Linked DNA regions of Daphnia pulex. The protein of the gene in region 2 interacts with the protein of the main gene of each other region in a pairwise test. Links are inferred from orthologs where the notes say so. Each region holds a gene or a part of one and is shown on either strand. Other genes may lie near its edges.

What was found.
Region 1: the proteins of DAZ-associated protein 2-like (region 2) and UBX domain-containing protein 6-like interact in binary tests that used the Homo sapiens proteins (3 or more experiments, as listed by UniProt). The link is inferred for Daphnia pulex from reciprocal best matches to the Homo sapiens genes DAZAP2 and UBXN6.

Annotation. Positions count from the first base shown.
Region 1 is NC_060023.1:5,740,609-5,747,458, forward strand, and holds UBX domain-containing protein 6-like, read left to right. Parts: upstream 1-4,075; 5' UTR 4,076-4,508; coding exon 4,509-4,569; intron 4,570-4,631; coding exon 4,632-4,955; intron 4,956-5,008; coding exon 5,009-5,139; intron 5,140-5,211; coding exon 5,212-5,460; intron 5,461-5,518; coding exon 5,519-6,052; 3' UTR 6,053-6,297; downstream 6,298-6,850. Other genes in the region: integrator complex subunit 1-like, read right to left, coding at 1-15, 183-215; aurora kinase A-like, read right to left, coding at 1,674-1,719, 1,780-1,932, 1,997-2,170, 2,237-2,395, 2,455-2,589, 2,645-2,830, 2,922-3,031; synaptojanin-1-like, read right to left, coding at 6,618-6,850. UniProt on the Homo sapiens protein: May negatively regulate the ATPase activity of VCP, an ATP-driven segregase that associates with different cofactors to control a wide variety of cellular processes.
Region 2 is NC_060021.1:6,407,753-6,415,310, forward strand, and holds DAZ-associated protein 2-like, read right to left. Parts: upstream 4,542-7,558; 5' UTR 4,384-4,541; coding exon 4,359-4,383; intron 4,278-4,358; exon of another isoform or gene 4,258-4,277; coding exon 4,019-4,257; intron 3,953-4,018; coding exon 3,812-3,952; intron 3,730-3,811; coding exon 3,547-3,729; 3' UTR 3,367-3,546; downstream 1-3,366. Other genes in the region: extensin-2-like, read left to right, coding at 1-650; uncharacterized protein LOC124193795, read right to left, coding at 848-1,139, 1,202-1,311, 1,374-1,498, 1,565-1,781, 1,845-1,943, 2,003-2,200, 2,268-2,336; serine/threonine-protein kinase PLK1-like, read right to left, coding at 5,314-5,523, 5,588-5,834, 5,897-6,050, 6,115-6,273, 6,352-6,758, 6,821-6,916, 6,979-7,196, 7,260-7,484 and 1 more. UniProt on the Homo sapiens protein: In unstressed cells, promotes SIAH1-mediated polyubiquitination and degradation of the serine/threonine-protein kinase HIPK2, probably by acting as a loading factor that potentiates complex formation between HIPK2 and ubiquitin ligase SIAH1.

The DNA of each region.
Region 1 (6,850 bases), on a different chromosome or scaffold from region 2:
ATTCAAAAGCCGATCCTGGTATCAAAAGTCATTATATTATTTCATATTGCTACTGACATGGTTTTTTTTAATACTGCCGAACCTTGCATTCAAATTCTCTGATTGCAACTTTGCATGCATGATAAACAAACACGCACAGTTAAAATAAATGCAGTTAACAATAAATATGTGCATGAAATTACCTGATGTATAGAGTTATTCAATGGGTCTTCCATTTTGAATTCAACTTGAGTCCGCTCTCTGAAAGGCTGACAATCTTTCTTTCTGCATGGACCAAATTTTACTTCACATAAATTGGCCACCAAACTCCAAAGAACTCCAAACCTGGATGTTCAAGATACACAATTTTATTTTTTTTGCAAAAATAAGAGCAATTAACTAAAGTATGCTTACTTTTGACACAAAAAATGCGTCGTAATTACACTACGACGCCTCGATTTGTGCCTTCGTGCCGTCGACGCCTTTTTGTCGTCTGAACCTGCGCCGCAGGCTCGCAGCTGCTATTTAACAACACGGTTACTCATGCGACGTTGTCGTAATGTTGCTAAATACTATTGGAGCATTTTACTACTGTCACCTCACATACTCACATTTCTTTTTTAGACATAAAAATAAAAAATAAATAGAATTATGAAACAATTTACTTATGACCATTTGTCTCTGAGACAAATGTAAAGTTTTTCAGAATTATTTCAGTTTCTACTGAACATTATTATTTGAAAAACGTTTTACTACTGATACATTGTTACGAATGACAAATATACTATTGATACAGATTTGTAAATTACGATACTTAAGAAACTTTTTACTAGTGCGATTCCGTCACAGTGATACGCACCCTTGACGTTATTATGAAGCATTTTACTTAAAGAGCTAGTTATTTACGGGTATAGTTTACAGTTACTAAATAATCAAAATATCAGTGATATCTTTTATTTATGAAACACTTTACTTCCAACACTGTATATTAATGAGAGAAAAAAAAAAGCTTTTATTAATGGCAACCTTTACTAGTGCGATTCCGTCACTCTGAGATGCACCACCTTATGAAATAATTTACTAATGGCCATTTGTTTCAAAGATATTTGTTCAGTTTTTAAGAATTATTTCAATTTCTACTGAACATTATTATTTGAGACACCTTTTACTAGTGATACACTGTTCCAATGGCAAATATACTATCGATACAAGTTACTAAAGTACGATACTTATGAACCTTTTTACTACTGCGATTCCGTCATAGCGCTACGCACTGGTATGACGGTTACATTATTCTATCTTATCGATTACTCAATATTCTTTTCTCTTTCTGCCGATCCTTTACTGAACAAAGAAAATGTGCGGCAACTGTGATTGTAAAAATGCCAACTAACAATATGATTGCTTTCAACATCATTAATTTACAGGACGTATGAACTCCATATTTTATCAATAGTTTGTTACTTTAAAGACCTTTGATCGTATTCGATCTTTTCTATCCACATCTCAATACATATAAATACAGAGTAGCATATGAAATTTATACGTCTATTTTATTTTCCTATGTCGAAAGATCACACAGATTAGAAATTTGATAAAATTATGATACAACAGGGAATATAATGAAGAAATCTACTACATGATAGGACAGCAGAAGAATAAAATCAAATAAACTGCATTCAATTAATAAATAATTACACTTCGGATTGAATTGGGTCTTGTAACTGGAAGTAAGGCAATCTAAAAATATATATTGAATTTATAAAAGAAAGACACATGCTATTAGACAAATTGCCTTACTTTGAGCGAACTTCCGATGTCAAATGCTGCTGCACCCATTCATGATGAAGAATGCTCTTCAAATCCAGGCGATCCTCGGGTTGATATTTCAGCAATTTACTGATGATGTCACGGGCGCCATTTGTCACATGCTGAGGAAATCGCAAATCCACGCTAAAATAATTCAAGCTGTTATTGAATTACTGCATTAAATGTGGCTTATCAAGTCATAACTTGCCTGCATATTCTTTTGTAAGTCAAATCGGTTTTCTCCTCCTCAAAGGGTGGCTTTCCCACAAGAAACTCGTAGCACAAGATCCCCAAAGTCCACAAATCAACTCTTTCGTCATGAGATCTGCCTTCAACCATTTCCGGGGCCAAGTAGTCAAGTGTTCCGCACATAGTAGTGCGTCTGTTGAGAAAGAGAAATTTTTAGAAACTGAAGTAAAGCCATTTCCTACAAACTACAATCTAATACCGTGAAGATGGAGCATGAACAGACCAACCAAAGTCTGCAATTTTTACATCTCCGTTTGCTCCTATCAGGAGGTTCTCAGGTTTAATATCGCGATGGATTACTTTTCGTGCATGACAGTACATCAAAGCATCAGCCAACTGAGCCATGTAGTTTGCCACACTAATTATTGAAAATCACTTTATGATACTGCAAGAAAACCCATTAAAAGTTGAGCTTACCTTGGTTCTTCAAAGCGCTGCAAAGGCTGGGCCATCAAAAATTTATACATTTCACCCTTTGATGCATATTCTAAAATCAAATAGACTCTGGTTTCATCAAAAAAGTAACCATACATCCTTAAAATGTTGGGATGCCTGTGAATGAAACAATGTGTTATGAGAACTGCAATGCAATGTAGAATTGTTTTACCTCAAATGTGATTGAATCTCAATTTCTCTCCGAAGCTGATGTTCAAGGTGACTCTTTTGGAGCTGTGACTTGAATAGGACTTTAAGGGCTACCACAAATTTTGATTTTCTCTCTCTAGCTAGATAAACATTTCCAAATTTTCCCTTTCCCAATGGACGGCCAATCTCAAAATTTTCCAATGTCCACCTGTGTTTATCAAAGATTGGAGAATACACCAATGTGCAACTGTTAAGATCCACATCTTAATGGTCTAACAAGAGAAGAATGACAAGCATACTTAGGTTTTGATCTTTCATTTTCAAGCTTAACATCCGGTTTTGCTAAGGGAGCAGTGGTCATAGGTTTAGTCACGTTTTGCAAGTCCCTCAACGGTTGCTTGGTCTCCATTTATAACGTGAACTATTACATCAAAATACCCAACAATTTCTTAAATATTTGGAAAGCCAGTACTAATCATTAGATAATAAAAGTTATACTTATTTGCAGCGAAGTATTCGAGTAAGGTCTCTTTGTAACTAAAGTCAACTAGAAGTCTGGAACTAACGTTACTTCTTTAAAAGTCGGAGAAGATTTGTCTACCCTGTCTGGTTTGAAATTTGAACATTGACGCTAGGGGGCCGATGGGGTTTTAAACGGTAAACCCATCCTCTTGAAGTCTGATTGGTCAAGGACTCAAGGTCGCAGAGAACGATCAATATCAATTAAATTTAAAACATTTTAAAATAATATTTTAACTAATTGTTTTAACATTCCTAAAAATTTTATTAAAGTAAAAGATTAAATAAAATCGATGGGTTATATTTGTTTTATCATTGAAAAGTTGGCAACATCATAATGAGGGGGCTGGGGAACTGAGTTTTTAGGTAACCTTGATAAAATTGCGTGGTAGCATACCTTTTTTTATTAACCCTACCTGAAAACTGAAAACTTATGCAATATATTATGACCCAAGGGCACGACGTAGTAACTGTAATTCTAAAATGAAATTCACGTAGCCCCGTATGGCCCATCAAGGGTTTTGTCATAAAAGAAAACGTCTGTCATATTGTATCACGTAATTTGTCATGCAAATATTGAGAACATATTGCCGTTATTGGATTATAGTTGCCAACAGCAATTTCCTGTCAAAAATGAAATATGTGTTACGATGCGGACACAAGATTATTAGCCTGGTCTGGCCTGGGTTGTAGTGGAAATTGATCGTATAAAACACGCAACTGCTAAACAGCAGTTGGTTCCTGGTTCGTTCTTTCATATTTTGTAAACAAAAGGCTATCATTAGAGTACATGTCATTTCATGATACTAGAATCGATCGAGGATTCAATTCTAAATTTCGTAGCATGGTAAACAACTTAATAATTAAAATTAAATGCATTATTTTACCTAGTGACCAAGCTAGAATGTATAATTATTTGCATAATACCTATATTATAGGTGGATGAAGAAACTTTGGTTGAACAGCAATCTACTTTGTGGGTCGAGGTTTTCGTCGAATATTCCGTTAACTTAATTTATCTTCTAATCAGTTTTGTCATTGACTTTGTTGAAGTGTTACCAGGGCACTGTGAAAGTTTATTTAAATCTATTCTCTTAAAGTTGATTGATTTCTCAGAAATATTAGTGAACTTTTATGATTCAGCTTTTTCTGATTTCCAAATTAAATTATTACAAGTTTTCTTTTGCATACTGACTGTCCATGTATTAGCTATTTGTGTTGCGTGGAAAATTTACAGCGAAAGAATAACACAGAGATTTCTGAAGCCAAGTCAATACGAAATTTCAAGTGAACAGCTGAAGACTGCAGTTTCTGAGTTAAAGCTACCAAGTGAGCATACACCACGGTGGTAAGGCGTAGGATTCAAAATGGATAAAATTAAAAAGTTTTTTGAAAAGAAGAAAGCTGATACAAAATTTAAATTGGCTGGTAATAACATAATAATTAATATGGGTTTGTTAAAAGAGTAATGAAAACTTGTAATTTTTTAGGAGAAGGACATAAACTTAATGAAACTGTTCAACAACCAAAACTAAGCAAAAATTTGGCTCCTACTCAAGCTCGTTCTGAAGCTTCAACTAGTGCAGCACAACAACAAGCTGCAGCTGCTGCATTAGCCAGATTTGAAAAGAAAAAAGACCCTACTCCCCAACAGCGATCAGCTGCAATAATAAGAGCCCAGGCATTAAAGGAATTGGAGCTAGAGAAACAGGATACTTCAATTCAAAAGTTAACTCTGTCTGAGAAAACCCAACAACTTCCATCCTCAAATGAACTTGCTGTTAGTGGAGTTTACTACAAGTGCCCACTGATAGGTAGTATGTGTATCCTCTGTGATAGTAAATTAAATTAATGCAATTATTTGTAGGACCTGAAGTACTGCCTAAAAAAGAAATTGAAAAATTGATTAAGGAGTTTCTTTATCAGCAATTAGAAGATGAGGAAGCAGGACTTACTGCTTGTCTAGTTATACACACATTAAATAAGCCTCAAGAAAAGGTTATTTTTTATCATTTTCAAATAAAGAAATCTATTTCACATTTTTTCTCTCTCGATTAATCGACGATATAGGTTCAGCAATGTGTTGAAACATTGTTTCGCTATTTGGATAACATAGTACAGAACCCAGCTGAGGAAAAGTATCATAAAATTCGTATAAATAACAAAGTGTACCAAGAACGAGTAGGTCGGCTGGAAGGAGTACAACAATTTTTGCAAGCAGCTGGTTTCCAGTTAAAGTCTATACAAAATGCTCAGCAGGAGCCGGAGGACTTCTGGGTTTTATTAAACACACAACCAGAACACATCGAATATATTAGTGTAAAAATTTCATTTTATTCCTGAATACGGTTCAACTATAGATTGCCTATTATTGCAGAATTTACGTGATGGCTTGATAAGCGCGGAAGCGATTCGGCCAGATTTGGATAGAGGAATACAAATTTTGATGCCATCGCAAGCTGCCCAACGGGTGGAATTGCCTTCGGACTTTTTTTGGCTTACAACCGAAGAAATCAAACGAGAACAACAATTGAAAACCGAGGCGGCTGAGAAAGGCTTGATGCTTCGTACTCGGGCTATGAGGGAACGAGATGAGAAGGCTGCATCACGAAAATACCGATTTACCCTGATCCGCATAAAGTTTCCGGATGGTCCCGTGCTCCAAGGAACGTTCAAAGTCAATGAGACTATGCAAGACGTTCGCTTGTTTGTTTGCGATGCACTCGAAGAACCCTTCATAGAGTTCAATTTAGTATCTCCGGCTGGTGTGGTTAACCAACCGGACATTCAAGATTCAACTCTACTTGATCTTCAACTCTGTCCATCAGCAATTTTTCATTTCACTCCAGCCGTTGCATCCTCTTCTGGTTACTTGAAAGACGAGTTAATGATCCTTATGCAATCCATGTGATTGCTTATTATTATTCACTACATCCATGAAATATTTGAACCCTTTTCCAGATAAAATTCTGCATTAGTCACATATTGTTTTCATTTGGTTGTTCTTTTTTTTGGCATTTTTATTTTGCGAAGTGATAAACAAAAATTCCTTTAGGTGTTAAACAGCGACAACGGATGTATTCTGTTTTGTTGGTATTAATGAAGTCCGTTGAGAAGTATGACTAGTTCCGATACACAATGGATCATTCGACACAACCTGAATCAACGCGTACCTTCAATTAGTCTAAAATACAGTATATAAGTTTACGGTGACTGGGGTATAAGTTTCTGCTGGTAGATATGAATTATTGTGGAATAAGCCTGAAACAATTTTTTTTTCTAAATCAGTGCTGTAGAGTATTTGTTGATCACTTCTAGAAGCAGACATTTAAAGAAACACGCAACACATTTAAATTAAGTAAAATTTTTGCCATGAAAGAAAAACAAACAAACTTCCGGTTGATACTTTTGAAGAGTTTGCAGGAATGAATACTGTTAATCTTCACTGGAGTCGCAGGCAGTCAACCACTTACTTGTTATTTTGCCGTGCGGGGAGGGACAGGTGGAAGATTCCTGGCTGGGATGGGTGGAGGAGCCCTCACTACGTTAAACGACTGTGGGGGTTGAGAAGCCGTTGAAATTCCGTTGGAGGGCTGAGCTTCTCGTACTGGTACGACAGTAGGAGCTGACGGAACAGCTGAAGCTTGAACTGTAGAACGGGCGGGAACAGGAGGGAGAGGGCGGGAGACAGGTGGAGGAGCTTGAACTG
Region 2 (7,558 bases):
CCCCTGCCTATTACACTGAGCCCAGTTACTACACCACCGAGGTTTACACCACAACCTACGCCGCTCCTAGCTACTATGCTCCTCCGGTTTACACTACTCCTGCCCCGGTCTACTATACCACGGAGGTTTATACCACAACCTATGCTGCTCCGAGCTACTATGCTCCTCCGGCTTACACCGAGGCTCCGTATTACACCACTGCTGCTCCTTACTACACCGAGGCTCCTTACTACACCACCACAACTGCTGCCCCTGTGTACTACACTGAGGCTCCCTACTACACTGCTGCTCCAGCTTACTACACCGAGGCTCCTTACTACACCACCACAACTGCCGCCCCTGTATACTATACTGAGGCTCCTTACTACACTGCTGCTCCAGCTTACTACACTGAAGCTCCTTACTACACCGAGGCTCCATACTACACAACCACAACTGCTGCCCCTGTCTACTACACTGAGGCTCCTTACTATACAACTGCTGCTCCGGTTTACTACACTGAGGCTCCTCATTATACAACGGCTGCCCCTGCCTACTACTCTGAACCGGCTTACTACACAACTGAAGCGTATACCACAACTACAGCAGCCTACAAATACGAAGCTCCCACTTACGCTCCACCGAGCTATTATGCTCCTCCAGTCTATTAATAGCTCTAAGTTGTACAAGCTTTTTACCTTGGAATTGTTATTTCGAATATCTTTATCAGAGAATGTTAATAGATTACGTTACGCTAACTGCAATTGGTATTAACTTGTAGTCATTGTATTTCAACCTTAAGGAGGGATTCAGCTCTTCAGTCGTGTAAAGTAGTTAGACAAACATAGTCAACATTAGAACTGAAAGTTTAAAGATTCATGGAGAATGTGGCAATGGAACGACTATTCTTAGCATTATCGACATAGAGACGCCACTCCCTGCGGTTGAAATCAAAAATTCCAGTAGCGATCGTCAATACGATATCCTTCTCCGTTCCGCGACGGTAAATCGGATAATCTTGATCATCGTCGTTGGACAGCATGTCTACAACCTCTCCGATATTAGTAGGTAAACCCAGAGTTTCCATTACATGATGGCGACCGTTACTGCTGAGTACAGCCAAACCGTTATGATCCTCGTTGATCTTCAGTCGCAAGTATCTAATCGATGTAAATAATTTGTGGTAAAATTGTGCTGAACATTGTTTGAAATTGTTGTATACTTATTGCAGCGAACATGACTCTCCCCAGGCGAAATAGTCAAAATGGACAGTTGCGACTCGTTATTCTCCGCAGGTCCTACTTCAGCGCTGTGAAAGAGGATTGGTCCTTCCTGTTTTGGTATATTGATTAATGCCAAATTTAACTAACTTTTCTGATAATTTATTATTTTACTTGTTTCATGAACGACATGTTGACGCAAAATCCGTGAGCAGATCCGGTTCCTCTGTCACGAAGAATGGCCTGAGCGTCGACCAAATTCCGAGCGCTAAGCATCGCCCTTGTCAGGAAATGACGCGCTGAAAAAAAAAGAAGGAACGCAAGTCTAAACTAATCAAACGAAAATTAATTTAATTATCAAGTACGTGTTTTGTCATTATGGACCCTGACAGGTTCTATAATATTGATGGTGTAAACGAGACCGTGCTCATTAATATTCATGCAGAAGCCAGGCAAGTGCCCAGCGTAACAAAGCGACGAGAATCTCTCATGACGTCCACATTTTTCGGTAATATCAGCGTGAACGATGTACAGATGGTTGAGAGTTACTGCAAAAGCGTCTTCCGTGTGTCCCAAAACCACCTAAAAGTAAGATCATTTTTCTTTTAAACTTTCACTTTTATAATTAGTTGAATTAGAACTTGCGTTTTCGTGGTTGCACATGACGCTCGAACAACCGTTTCCTGATAGTTGAGATGACGACGAGGCCTCTAATATCATGCTATCGATGTGCAGTAGCATCAACTAAATAGACAATGTTGGAAAATTATTAACATCCACTTAAAAAGTATTTGAAACTGGACCTTGTAAAAGGGCACTTGACTGCCGTCAGAAATTCCTTGCAACTCATTGACGTAATAAGGGAACTTGGCTTTCATTCGAGCTAGCGTGTCGTCGTAGATTTTCAGTCCAGCAACTGTGTTGTAGGCTGGCAACAGCTCGTCGTTCAAAAATTTCGAGTCTCGAACTAGTTCTTCTATCTGATGTTTAAAAGTGTGGCCCTGTCGGATAGTTGAAAAGTCAAGTTAGAAAGTCTAGGATTGAATTTTGTTTTCCTCTTTTTCTTACCACATCGTAGCCGACTTGATAGAATGTTCCTCGAACGTAAATAACTGGTAGGAAAATTCGGTTTTCCATGTTGCTCTCTCGAAAGATGAAGCGGAAATGGATCCAGTCGTCTTTTCAAAATGAAAGCGTCCACAAGAATCCTTACAACATCGGTCAAGTTTTAATCTTGTTAAGGGCCAAACACGTAAGAAATAATCCACTTTTGTGAGCCAAAACTCATTTCATTTCGGTGCACTTTGCGCATGTTTCTTTTAGAAGTTATTAGCCGGAATAGAAAATTTGCAAATTAGAGAATTCCTTCTTACCAAATAAATTACTTCTCGCGCACTAATAAAACTGACGCCAATTTCTTTGGTCCACCTTCGCGCGTTGTTGATAGTTTTTATATAATCTTCTTACGTGTCGTTATAATACAGATAGTATCGTTGACACAGCGCTTTGATAAAAACAAATCCCGAAGACGTGCGTCACCAAAGTTTAGATAAATCGCAAATAACTGAGCTGTGATTTAACTTGCAATAGCTCGAGAGAATTTCTTGATAAATGTGAAGCCACTTTTCCGCTTACATTACACCTATGTGTATGTATATGTGGATTTCACTTACGCATTTGTTTAACCGGAATGTGAAATCAAAATAATTTATTATAATAATCCTTTGTCTTTCATCAGACGTATTAGGTAATAGATATCTTTATCTGTTTTCAGTCTGACATAACTAAAAAAAAAATTGTATAGTTCTTGTCCCATCCTCATCGATGCTAATTAAATTACAAATTTGCAAGTATAGGCAGATGGTGATACCATGTGACCACTTTGTTTAAAGGAAGACCGCCAGTTGTTGTACCTCTCCACCGAATTTGTATGGGCCGGTGTAATGTTACACTGTCGCAGTTGAGCACTAAATCGGGTTGGATTTTTAATCGAACGGAAGATGGACGCCTTACGACACATTTCCTTTCGGCGGAAGACTTATGGAGCAGATAAGAAAAGAAATTACAGGTACGCTGCTTTGCCCATATTATTTTCAAGGTTGTGTAATTCTTTTGTTTGGTGAAGGATTATGAATAAGTTCCGGCCAATGAAAGACTAAACAAAAGCAAATGTTAGAAATATTTATGTCATGGCACACATTTTCTTTAAGGGCTAAGAGTACTATAACAGTAATACTGTTTCCGATTTTTTGCGCACAACTAACAAATTAATGATTTTATTGAATTTAATAGGTATAATTGGGTATGCATTTTGTTGCTGTTGGTATGGCAGTTTGCAAGAATTTCTTCACCAAAATGTAGCACCTCCATCCGAACCACCAGTGAAAAACCGATCCTGTCTTTGACCTAATACTACATTATGCCCAGATCCGTGCGCCAACTGGGCAGCATTGGGTGCAACACCAGGAGGAGGTGGAGGAATCCTCACTTGTGACGTTGAATCGAAACGCGCACCAGCATCGAATGCTTTCTAATTAATTATTTTAAATAAGAATTAGTATAAAACTTTGACAATTTAACTGGTTGAACTAAGAAATGTAATATGTACTCACTGGAACAACAAAAGTAGCTTGAGGATGGACTTGCTGCACATGTACTTGGGGTTGATGGGGTTGATGGGATTGATATGATTGATAGGGTTGATAGTAAGGCCCTGGGGCATTCATGGGCACTTGCTGCTGCTGCTGGATATGCTATAGAAAAATAAGTCTTGTTTATAAAATTTACTAAAGAAATGTTTATAATTAAACATTTCTTACCTGAACTGGAATGTAAGATGCATTATAGTTAGGTGGGGCAACTGGGTGGTGCATTGCTTGATCATAACTTGGTGGTGGTGGCGGCATTCCAGACATAACCGGCACATAGGGATTGTAAGGACTGGAGGCAACTGCTACAGCTGGATTCACCATATTGTTTCCAGGTGGGTACATTGGGTATGGCAATTGTGGAGGCCCTACAGGCTGCTGCTGCTGCTGTTGTGTTGGATAAGCTGCTGCTGATTGACATTATTGAAAAGTAAGGAAGTTTTTTTTTAAACTGTTATAGCCAAATGTATCCTAATACATCATGGTACTACTTTATATGATTAAATCTTACCCTTTTTTTCATTCTTCTTTGGCATTTCTTCAATTTGCTGATGGGTTACTTGGACTAGAGTGAATGTCAGCTATGTATTTTTGCAGAACTGATCCACTTCTTAATAAGAAACGTCAGCAACTAGTGCGTCAGTACGTGTTCTAATAACGTTTTTGACTCACGATTGGTAATTTTTTTGTTGCGCAAGCAGACGTTATCAACAGAAAACAAACAGTTGATAACATAAACGTTGCCATATTTTGAATCAGTATCGATTTCTTTTAAAATCATTTCCGTTGCGGTCTCAAAAGTCAAAACCAGCTTACAGTCAACAAGTTTTATTGGAATACTATATTTTTAGAATGATTTAAAATTGAAATAACAGTGTATATGATAACAAAAACAACTCATGTCAAGGTGTTGTATTTTTCTAGGTACTTGGTATTCCCGGAGATTCGTCCGGACTTTCGAGGCTGATTCCCATTCTACGTAAGAAACAATGCAAAATATTTGAGGCAATCACAACTGAAGACATGCAAGGGGTGATGATGTAGTGTAATTCTATAAATCGCGAATTGCCAGACGTACAAGAGGAAGACAGAAGTTAAGATAAAGGCAAGGGAGGGGGCATCAGGGTATTGTAATTTCACACTTCATATTCAATCCGAGGTAGGCATGTACTTGAGACGAACAAATCAAAATACATCACAATTTCGTAAATGAGATGAAGTAGTAACACTGCTTGTTAACTTCAAGTTCGAAATTAAGGGCGACATAATAAAAGATAAGTTCGTGGATTAAAGCCTAAATGGGATTAAGTAATTTCACACTTATTATAAAATTTGAAGGAGACACGTAACTTAATTGAATGGTAATTAAGTCAAGAATGGCCATCTAAAAAAAAATTAAATTAAAAGACAGCGAGGGGCAAATTTGATTAAGCGAAAGACGATCACTGTTGGCCAGCGATAAATTTCTACTTTTCCTGAGTATCTACTAACGGTGAGAGTAAAAATGGCAGTTTTTCGTGTGCGTATTGCAGTCTGTATAAGAGATCAGGATTGCAACCGTGTTCAGCCAGCAAAGAAAATTTGAAGGTACGGAAATTTTTCTTCTCGTCGATGACTGTCACAGCTCCCATGAGTGGACAGAGGATCAATTTAACGTGGTCTTTAAAGTAATTAATCTAGTAACACAAAAAGTTAATTATTGATTAAATGAACAAAATAGACTTGATGAGATAACTTTACCTGTAGCGTTCCACTCGTTAGGTGCATGACGACAGCTCGAGATGTGCGGAACCACTGACGTAGGAAAGGCAACCGAAGATGTTCATCACCGTCACGTGGAACAACGGATGCACCAGTCTTGATTAAGTGCTCTTGCATGTAAGAGCGGAAATATGCGAGCAGTTTCACCTTTTTACCCAAGGTAGGCGGATGTTGATCCATAGTGTAATACAACTCATTTCCATTGCGTTCGACGTACTGAATGGTCCTATTGCAATTATTGTAGTTGGCATTTAGGTCTTAATTATTAATAAAAAGTAAAACTCTTACTTTGCGTCAACCAACAGCAAAAGTTTCGTTAAATCATTGAAAATGACACCAATTGTATCATCGCTGAGTTGGTAGCCGAACCCGTATTTGTCAGAATAATCTACCCATTTAGAAATCCATACCATAGGCACTGAACCCGGATCCTCTGCCTCGTCTGAGATCAACAATTAAATAAGTTAAAGCAATTTTAATAATATTTAAATACTTTAAACACGCACCCATCATAAGAGGGAACTTCTCCGCAGGTTTTGCACTGAAGAGGCGGGTGAGCTGTTGCTGAAGCTCACGCAATAGTTTCTCAGGAGAAGGTCCAGCCGTGTAGAGGGCTCCGGCATTCTCAGCATGGTTAGGTTCGTTGGAAGGCGCCAATCCATCTCCTAAACAAAGCAAACACACACACACAAATTTATTGTTAGTATCTGCTCCAATGTGTTGTTTGGAAGTGTTTGAAGAACCTTGTGGATGCTCAGCAGTTCCAGGTAAATGGACTCTGTTAACTTCGCCCAGTGGACGACGAACAGCAATAATGCTGCTATTCAATTTGGCATCGAATCTCGGAGCCATCGTGAGGCATGATAAAGGCAAGCGTGTTGGCATATAACCACATGTCATGAATTCGTCATTCAAAACAATATCGACCGCAGGTCTAGATAGATAATTCTGAAAATCTTTAAAATTACACAACACTAATATCAAGTTATTATACCTGCAGGTTGGTTCACCCTGTAACATTCGAGTTATAAGAGCACGGGCAAGAGGCCCGATCCGAGAGGGAATATGATATTCATTTCGTTTGATTTTACTGTATGTATCTTTGAGAGACTGCGTCTCAAAAGGTGGACGACCAACAAGTAAAGTATACCTGAGGATTTAATACAAAAGTGAAGTTATATTTTAAAAAGAATAAGAAAAAATAGGTCTTACAAAATGCAGCCCATTGACCAAATGTCAACTTCAAAGCTATGGCCTTTTTTGTTGAGAACCTCTGGAGCAATATAGTTGGGAGTACCACAAAGTGTTCTAAGTAAAAAAATAAAATAAATTATAAACAATTCCATGCAGCTACACTTGGTTGCTGTTACTTTTTTCTCTCTCCACTAAAATCTAATTTTGTTGCTAAACCAAAATCTCCAATTTTAAGTTCCATGTTATCATTCAGGAACAAGTTCCCAAGCTTGAGATCCCTGTGAATCATTTTGTTTTCATGAAGGTATTTTACACCCAATAGAAGTTGGTGCATGAAATATCTTGCTTCTGGTTCAGTTACAGCTTTCCTTCTTTTGTGCAATTCCATTAGACTCTATGGAATACGAAAAAACTGTTTCAGTAAATTGTCAGTTTAATTCTGCTAACAAAGACTTACCCTTCTTTTGCACAGTTCCAACACTATATATACAAAGTTATTATCTTCAAAGAAACTGTGAAATCCTACTACATGATCATGTTTCAGACTACGATGAATAGAAATTTCCTGAGCCATTTTATCTTTTTGGTGAGGCTTGACAAGAAGTTGTTTGGAGACGATTTTTCCAGCAAACACTTGTCCATTGTCAAGATCTGTTAGCTCATAGCATTTGGCAAAACCACCCTATGAAAAAACTGGCGTTATTTCCATTTTTCGATTATACTAGAGGTGGATTTTCATTACCTTGCCGAGAAATC